Rattus norvegicus: one gene and its partner. The protein of the gene in region 1 purifies or fractionates together with the protein of each later gene. This does not show direct contact. Links are inferred from orthologs where the notes say so. Each region holds a gene or a part of one and is shown on either strand. Other genes may lie near its edges. The genes, in order: Myocd and Srf.

Region 1 (4,445 bases):
GACCCACAATTTCTGTTTTGGAGGATGGAAGAACAGGCTGGAAGCCAAGGAACATGGGTGGCCTCTAGTAGCTGGAAAGGGAAAGGAAATGGATTCTCTTCATGAGCTTCCAGGAGGGAACACAGCTCTGCCAACACCTTGATTTTTAACCCAGTGAGACCTGTTTCTGACTCCCAGCCTTCCAACCTGCACAGTAATGAGTCCAGACTGATGTGAGCCGTTAGAGCAGTTGTGGCAAGTTCCCACAGGAACAGCCCAGTTCAACACTGCTTGTGGAATGCACAGCCACTGCCAGGCTACCACAGGAGGCAGCATGTCGCAGGCCTGTGCTGCTGCCCAACCCTATTCACAAGAGGAAGTTGTGTAGAAGGGTTCCGCCTCCTCTCTGATTCAGTGAGGAAGAACATTACCTATTCCAGAAAACTTTGATTCTGGGATTCAAGTGCATTTGGTGCAACCCAGAGGAGGAGGAAAAGGAAGGTCTGGGTCTTCAGCAACAGATGATGGAGGCAGAAGACCCCGGGATCAGGGCAGAGACTAGCCCCAAAAGATATTGTTATTTTAGGCCTCCACCTGTCCTGGGCTGATCCGTTCAAGAATTCACAGCTTTGAAGCAAAAGCAAAGAGGTAAAGAATTGTACTTGGGAGCCCACGTGCATATAAAGTTGAAAATGGTGGCAAATCGTGTGTTGTGTGTATGCAGTTCAGTTTTTTTAAATATCTAAGTCTTCGTCTTAGATGGAATATTTGTTGTACTTAATGACGCACATGGCACCCTGTCGCCCCAGGCGCCCCTGAGACATGCATCATCAGCGCCGCTTTGAGTGCCCGGTGGATTTCCCACGATTAAGCGGGATGTGAAAAATCTCTGTGCCTTTCCAATCTGGCTCGCCCAGGCCACCGAGTGCGACCCTGCTGAGCACCCAATAGTACACTCAACTTTTGCACACACTCCCCCTCCGGGCTTGGTCCCCAGCCACAAACTTTGTGTGTCCCCAAAGAGAGCATCCAACCACAGCGAAAGACTTTTTGCCACCTCCTCGGACGCTCATAGACAGCGATAGCTGCTCCAGGCATCCATCTCCTGAAGCACCACCGCTCGGATGCAGAGGGAAAGCGGGTGCTCCCGGGAATTGCAAGCCGACCCTACTTCTTGGCTCAGGCTCCAGCGCGTTCCGAGGATGTGCCTTCCCGAGCAGTCCCAGTAGGCTGGGGACACTGGGGACATTCACACCTACGGCAAGCGGATACGCTCCTACCGTCGCCGGGCGCCACCTGCAGCCTTCGAGCATCCGGTTTAGGGGTGTCAGTGCAGAGACTCCCGCCTGGGCAAGCAGTCTTGGCTTAGTATTCTGCAAAGAGTTAAGAGCCTGCTGTTGAGGCTCCTGGGGCCGCGCCTGGTCCCCAGGCCCCGCTCGCCTCTCCTGATTGGCTGGTTTCCTGTCAGTAGTAAAGAGGATCAGATAGCAAACTTGGGACCTTCATAAAGGCGTGGTGGCGATACTCCGCGACCGCTGGCAGCCTATGACATCAGTCAGGAACGCCTAGGATGCGGCTGTTCCTGGCCACCCTCAGAGGAGGAGGGTCCTGCCTGCTGGGAGTTAATTAGCCTCGCAAGCGGCGAGGGGGGAGGCGCCAGTTTTCTGGGGACACTGGCGGCCACTGTGTGTCCTCCTGCCCAAGGGAGCTCCCCAAGAGTTGGATGAATTCTGGGTCGTTAGCTGCTGTCCTCTGGGCTCCCTGGAGCCAATTTCTGGTGGAAAGCGGGGCGTCTGGCCAGCGACCAGCGGCTTGCTGAGACTCACCATGACACTCCTGGGGTCTGAACACTCTTTGCTGATTAGAAGGAAGTTCCGATCAGGTAGAGTAAGGCATTCAGCACTCCTTAAACTTTTCATCTGTACCACTCAACTGCTTTACAATGTATGCCTCGGGCCTGAGGTGGCGGCCTTCGCTCTGTTTCCCCAAAATGAACAGCTGTATTTGACTGACTGCCTTCAAATGTCTTCCCTTTGACCTGTGTTAAGTTTGAGTTTTGTTTATGAATAATCCAATGTCTTTATTCCACCATTATTTTCCTTTATGAAATTAGAAAAATTTGAAATTCTAGAAAATAGAAAATTTTGAGGGGACTCTCCAAAAGAGACTGTGTTGAAATGGGCAAATGCAGGATCTGAAGTTAGAGAGTGGGCGAGTTATCAGTTACAACTGCTGAGACGATGAGCCTAGTACTGTGTATGAAGTCCAGGGGTCACTTAACATGTAGCTAATCCAAACAAATGTATTTCCCAAAAAAGTCACTTGGAGGAAGTAAAAATAGCGAATTTGGAGCACACCAAGAATTTAAAATGACATCACCATGGGGGAAAAAAAACCCAGTGCCACAAATATTTTTTCCCAAACCATCTGATATTTATAAATGGACAATTTTCCCTAAAATTGTTGTGTTAGTGGCACACAGAGAAACTTCTGAAGGGACACTCGGGAGAGGTGAGTCTAAGGAAAGGGTGTTGGGGGGGCCTACAGAAGATGCAGGAGAATGTTCCCTTATTGGCATCCTGGCCGGGCGACCTCGATTTGCACTTTATTGCATTTATAACGGTGGTAACCAACCGTCCAATGATGACAGAGCACCCTTTAAGAAGGAACATTTTGGTGAGAGCTCTGGTGGGAGCCTTCTGTGTAACAGGTGCTGGCTGGATGCTGGTGTCTCTCGTTCTCAATCACCTTTCTTTGCCCTTCTGAAGAGGCACACAATTGTCTGTCTTTAGATGAGTGGCTCAAAAAAATGTGTGCAGTGGGTGATGGGCCATAAGGAGCCTCTATAACTGCCTTAGTTGTTCCTGATCTTTAGGTGTGTGGGGGACACTCTGGGGTTTTTCAAAGGATTGCTCAGTAAGACAAGTTGAAAACTTAAGAGCTTAAGTGACCAGGAGCCACAGTGCCTCTGGAGGTCTGGGGTGTATCTCCTAGTCACCAGCCACCAGGCTCAGTCACACATATTTGTCCTTTCCATGTTGAGGTGAGGTGGTAAGTTTGCTAATCAGAGACTTCACATGCTTGGTAATTTGCTCAAAACCACAAGGCAATACTGCCACCTTTCTGAGGGAGCAAGGATGTCATTTTTGGTTTTTGCATGAAACTGGGTTTATTTCAAATGCTCCTATGCAGTTTAATGGGGATAGAGGGAAGGACAGAGAGGGGCTGGATTGTTTCTAAAAAGATGTGGTGATGGCCTTGATTGTGGGCTGGCACAACAAACTTATCAAGGAATTCCTCAGCTGAAGTAGAGTGGGGAGGGAAGACAATGTTTGGTTTGCACCACTGTAACCCCCATCTCAGTGGATTTGTGCAGGCCTGAGGTCTCCACCTAGACCCTGCAAATCTTTATCCTAGAGCTCTGAAGAAATCCAACTGCACTTTTTTTTTCAGGCATTTGTGTCACAAGGAAGGTAGTTTGGGAAAGCATGATGCAGAGGCAGGAAACTTAATCCTCCATCTTTGATTTTAAAAAGTGTGTGTGTTGGGGGCAGGGGGTGGGGGGCTGGAATCTATGACGGACAAAGCAAGTTGGGCATCTTAGGAGCCGTGGTTGATGATCTCATTCAAGAGCAAGAAAAACATAATTGTAAATCAGTGGATGGCTACTGGTTACTCTTCCTGGACAGAGTGACCTCGGTGGACATATATGGCCCCGAGGCCTGACTGGCATTGTATGAACTACCTCTGTCTAGGGGGCTTTGCTTCACTTCGTGTCTAACAGTGAATGAAGAGGGTTTCTTGTTCACCTTGATCTCTCTCTATATATATTTCTCTCCCTCCCTCCCTCCCTCCCAGTCACCCCCTCGTCTTCCTTGAGGGATTCCACTGCCAACTCTAAAGATTCCTATATGGCTCACTTCCTATATGATGCTCACTTCAACAGTAGATCCTGGTACGATTCTAAAGTTAACGTTTCCAAACTGACTGAAAGTGAGTTATTCTACGGTTATAGCAATGGGCTTGCCGTGATGGCGCATCCACAGTCCCCAGGCAGTTCCTCACATTCTGAAACTGACGTGGACAGCAACCATGCTTTACCAATTCCCCACTAACTCTGTCCAAGTAGCCTTGTGATTAACTGACCCGCCATGGGACTTTGGGACTTTGAATGTTTACATTTGTGAACATGATTGGCAATGTGAATTAACCTTACCTGACAGAGTAGGGTGTCCTGGCTGAGTGTGAGGGTCTCGCTCGGTCAGACTAGCTGGGTTCTCAGACATCGCCTCTTCGGTTTGGGCTACATGACCTTTATAATTCTCAGCATCATAATTCTCTGCATCTTACACACCTCACACCCAAATAATGAAGGTGGCTTTACGATGCTTTTAAGAGATAAACCTGATAACACAAACAGCTTAGTTAGGACATGGATATGCTGATGAGCCCTGGTAAACAGTGCT
Region 2 (4,428 bases), on another chromosome or scaffold:
GGCACGGAGGCCGCCCGCTTATCTAGTGGGACAGCCTCCTGTCAGGAATGGAGGATGGACACCTGTCTCCTAGGATAAGGAACACTAACCTGGCCCCACTCCTCATCACTAAGAGTGTCTATGTACCTGTGTTAGTCCAAGAAAGGAAAGGGATCCCCCCGCCCCCCACATAGGTGACCAAAAACCACACCTTGGTTTCCCCACTGCTGTCAGATTCCGACACCTGGTAGGTGAGATCTGGCTCTTCAAAGCCAGTGGCACTCATTCTCTGGTCTGTGCTGGGGTCTGAGCGGGGTGGAGAGTCTGGCGAGTTGAGGCAGGTCTGAATCAGCGCCTTGCCGGTCTCACTGGTGATCATGGGCTGCAGTTTGCGGGTGGCAAAGGTATACACATGGCCTGTCTCACTGGCCACCAGCAACAGCACCTGTGTCCCTGTCAGCGTGGACAGCTCATAAGCCTGGGGAGTTGGAGGAGATGGGCAAGTCAGCGACGCTTTTCCTCTCTACTTCCCTGGGGAAAACTGTACGGTGATCTCTAGTGCTGACTCCTAGGATGACCTTCATCCAGAGACTGTAACAGGGTCCTATCTAGATAGCTCAAGGTGAGCTGGGAGCAGAGAAACCACGCATGTCCTGTAAGAAGCAGGCCCATTGCCTGCAGATATCCCAAGCAAACAGGAATAGCTTCCAGCAGGGATTGAGCATATAACCTCAAGGTGGACACACAGCCACAGCGGGCTATCCCCTAACACTGCTGGTGTATGCTTCCTCCTCACTGTCACAGGGGCAGTGAGGTCCCTACCACACTAGAACTCACACATCACATTTGTGGTAACAGCCACCTAACTGCCAAACTGCCCATGTTCCCTGCCAGAAAACTGCACAGGCTCTAACCTGTTGCCACAGCCTAACTTCTTTTACCCTGTAACACAACACTGCCCTTTTCTTTCCCCTTGGGATGGAAGGATAAGAAAGGAGGAAAGGTACTGTCTACCTTTTCCCAAAACCTTCTCCATGGTGATCAAGGGTTACTGATAAGAGAGAGCACCCAAAATGGTGAGAGCTATATTTGCAATAGATACTCTGCTATGAGAGCCCCAGCGAAAATGCACAACCCACCTTGGAAGCACTTGCAGCTTCGGCAAGGAACAGATGACAACACTGGTTCCCACCCAGGTTGTAGGCGGTTTCCCAGTCCCTCTGCTTCCACCCCTTCCCATCTCCTAGACTCCAAGACGTCTCCTATCACTATCCTGTCACTTTTGATAAGCTATCAGCTGGCAAGTGGTACCTCTACAAATCTCCCTGACTTTCCCCAACATTCCATGCACTGATTTGCTCTAGAGCTGGAAGCCCTACCTGTCCCAAAGGCCAGCGATTCTGCAGCGGGCCCTGGGGCAGCATGAGATTTCCACAGAACGCAACGGAAGACACATGGCCAGGGCGGGACTTGGTCCCAGCTTGCTGTTCCTCAAGGCAGTAGCAGTTCTCCCGCCTAGCTTCCTCACCTGGTTCCTAACCCTGCCTGTCCTTCATGCCCGCACAACTCTAGCGATGCCCACATTTCGTCCCACTCAAGCTCTCTCACTGCTGTCATCCAACTCCTGCCTCCTCATCTCCAAACCTTCTGCTCCCTTTTCCACCGCCCTTCCCGCACACCGGGACACAGTGGATCTGTTGATCCCCGCGTCTGGTTATCCAGCTTCCTGCCGGCCCCTGTTCACTCCTGTACTCTTCCAGGACCCTCTGTCCCCCGCGCGCTGGTCACTCCCACCCCGGCGCCTTTGCCCAGGATTCCGGACGTTCGCAGCATCTCCCCTCTCCCCATATTTCCCGGGCGGCCCCTCCCCTTTCGCCCGGCCTGGGTACAACCATCCCCTCCCACACACCTCCTGCGGACTAGCCCGCCTCTCACCTCCGCCTCAGCTCTGTCTCGCACCCGGGCTACCTTAGAGCTCACCCACCCTTCAGGTCCCCCCGGGGCGCGCCAATCTCCGGCTCCTGTACCTTCTTCATGATGCCCGTCTTCCTCTTGCTGAAGGTCGTGTAACGCCGCAGCTTGTTGTCGATGAACTCCATCTTGATCTTCACGCGGCCCCGGGTCTTCTTCCCCGGCTTGGCCCCGCTCACCGCGCCGCTCACCGGTCCGTAGCCTCCGGCGGCCGCCGCCGCCGCCTCAGGCCCACCGACCACCACACCGAGCTCCATCTCGCTCAGACTCCGCTTGAGGCCGCGCCGCTCGGCGCCCAGCTCCTCCTCCTCGCCGGACTCAGAGTCGCCCTCGCTGCCGCTGTAGAGGGCCCCGGCGGTGGGCGCTGCTGCTGCTGCAGCCTCCCGCTCCAGACGACCCGGGCCGAGCCCCGCGCCGTTCCCGGGGACCCGGCCCCCGTTCGCCCCGCGAGTCCCACCGCTGCCGCCCGGCCGCCCCGTCGGGGTCCTGTTCAGGCTGCCCCCCAGGGCCGAGCCCCGGCCCAGAGCCGCCGCGGCCCCAGCTTGGCTCGGTAACATGGCGCTGAGTGCAGGAGGGCGGACAGGCAAGTCAGCGAGGAATCGGGGCCGCCGCCGCCATCGGCTTCCCGGTTCCACCCGGCACTCCCGCTGCTGCTAAAGCCGCTGTCGCTGCCGCAGCTGCGAACCCGGGGCCCCTGCACGCCCGGGCCGACCTGGGCCCTCACTTTCCTGCCCCTATGGCCGGGGTTGCCCCAGGCCGCGCGCAGCGCCCCCTGTCCGTGTGCCGGGGAGGCGCGCCCTGCGGCCGTCAGCGTCCCCCGCGGGGCAGGGGCTGCTGGCCGCGGCCGAGACCGCGGGTGGAGGGGGCCGGGACCACGCGCTGGCGGCGGAGGTATCCCCCAACCCTTCCCCCCCCATATAAAGAGATACAATGTTTCCTTTTATGGCGAGGCCGCTCCTTATATGGCGAGCCCCAGCGCCCCCGCCCCATTGGTCCGCGCTTCCGGCACCTCCGCTCCCCATTGGCCCGAAGGGGAGACTTATTTGCATAGACATACCGAACTCGCTGCTGTCATCCCGCGTCAGACCGCGATTCCTTGGGGGGGAGGAGCCAACTCCTTAAAGGAACAGTGGAGCGGAGCCAGTTCCGCCCCCCTGTGTTGGAGAGTAGTGGATTGTTGAAACTCTCATAGAGGAAACCTGGAAGAGGACTGGAGGGCAGAAGAGGGAACCCCTGAATGGATTGGGGTTTAAAATAAATGAGAAAAAATACTTCCTAATTCCAGCGAAGGGGTTCAGGGATAGATTGGAGCGTTTCTCCCACCACTTCCTGAGGGAAGGTAAAGTGGTTGGAGCCGAGGGAACTTGTGTTTCGTCTCCGCTACCCCAGCGGTTCCACTCGTTCCCCTACTACACACACTTGCCTTTCCCTCTCTTTTCAAAGGATCAACACTTTCCCACAAGTCTGGCTGCGAGGTCACATCGTTCATCATCCTCTACACTGGAGGTGGAGGGGTGTCTTTGGCAGACACACATCTGGAGGAGGAGGAGGTACGGGGCGACCTCCCATCCACGATGGGGGCAGGGCGGAGAGTGAGAGGTCAGTGAAGACTTCCAGCTGCGCCTGTGCTGAAAGAGAGGGGGTGGTCTCGAGGATAAAGCAAAGGCCTGAAAGTACAGCGGGATAGAAAGTTTAAGCAAGGGAATGTAATCGACATTCCAGGTCCATAGGAGGATTTTTTTAAAAAAAGATATAAAGATTAAAACGTGGGTGTTACAAAGCCCAGGTTAAGGGTCTGAGAGTCTGAGTCTTTCTTCCAAGATAGAGAAAATATCGTGGACTTCTATGTTACTGAAACTATTTAAATCTGACCGGACTGTGTGGTGCACACATTTAATTCTAGCTATTCCGGAGGCTGAGGCAGGAGGATTACCCCGAGTTCAAGTCCAACCTGACCCACATAGTGAGCACCAAGCCAGCCCAGGACTACATAGCAAAACCCAGTCAAAAAGAAAATTATTCAAACGTGGTTAAGAGTTCTGGCTGCTCTTCCAGAGGACCTGGGTTCAATTTCCAGCACCCACATGGCAGCTCACAGTGGTCTTTAACTCCAGTTCCAGGTGATCTGACATCTTCAAAGACATACATGTAAGTAAAACACCAGTGCGCATTAAATACATCTAAAAAATTATTCGAATAAAAAGTCTGTCTACCTTTGCAGGCCTGTGCATGCAAACAAGTGACCTGGGTCCCTTCTCTGGTGTCGGTACTTGTGCTGGCTGGTTTGCTGTCAGCTAGACACAAGCTAGAGTCATCAGAGAGGAAGGAGCCTCTGTTGAGGAAATGCCTCCCTGAGATCCAGCTGTAGGGCACTTCCTCAATTAGTGATCAATGGAGGAAGCCCAGCCCATTGTGGGCAGTGCCATCCTTGGGCCCCGTGGTCCTGGATTTTATAAGAAAGCAGGCTGAGCAAGCACG

What was found.
Region 2: the proteins of Myocd (region 1) and Srf purify together in Homo sapiens (affinity purification with western blotting; 3 studies listed by BioGRID and IntAct, with this or other methods). This does not show direct contact. The link is inferred for Rattus norvegicus from reciprocal best matches to the Homo sapiens genes MYOCD and SRF.

Annotation. Positions count from the first base shown.
Region 1 is NC_086028.1:50,423,884-50,428,328, reverse strand, and holds the start of Myocd (myocardin), read left to right. Parts: upstream 1-1,509; 5' UTR 1,510-1,806; coding exon 1,807-1,861; intron 1,862-4,445. UniProt on the Homo sapiens protein: Smooth muscle cells (SM) and cardiac muscle cells-specific transcriptional factor which uses the canonical single or multiple CArG boxes DNA sequence. Acts as a cofactor of serum response factor (SRF) with the potential to modulate SRF-target genes.
Region 2 is NC_086027.1:21,922,483-21,926,910, reverse strand, and holds the start of Srf (serum response factor), read right to left. Parts: upstream 2,836-4,428; 5' UTR 2,508-2,835; coding exon 2,007-2,507; intron 458-2,006; coding exon 191-457; intron 1-190. UniProt on the Homo sapiens protein: SRF is a transcription factor that binds to the serum response element (SRE), a short sequence of dyad symmetry located 300 bp to the 5' of the site of transcription initiation of some genes (such as FOS).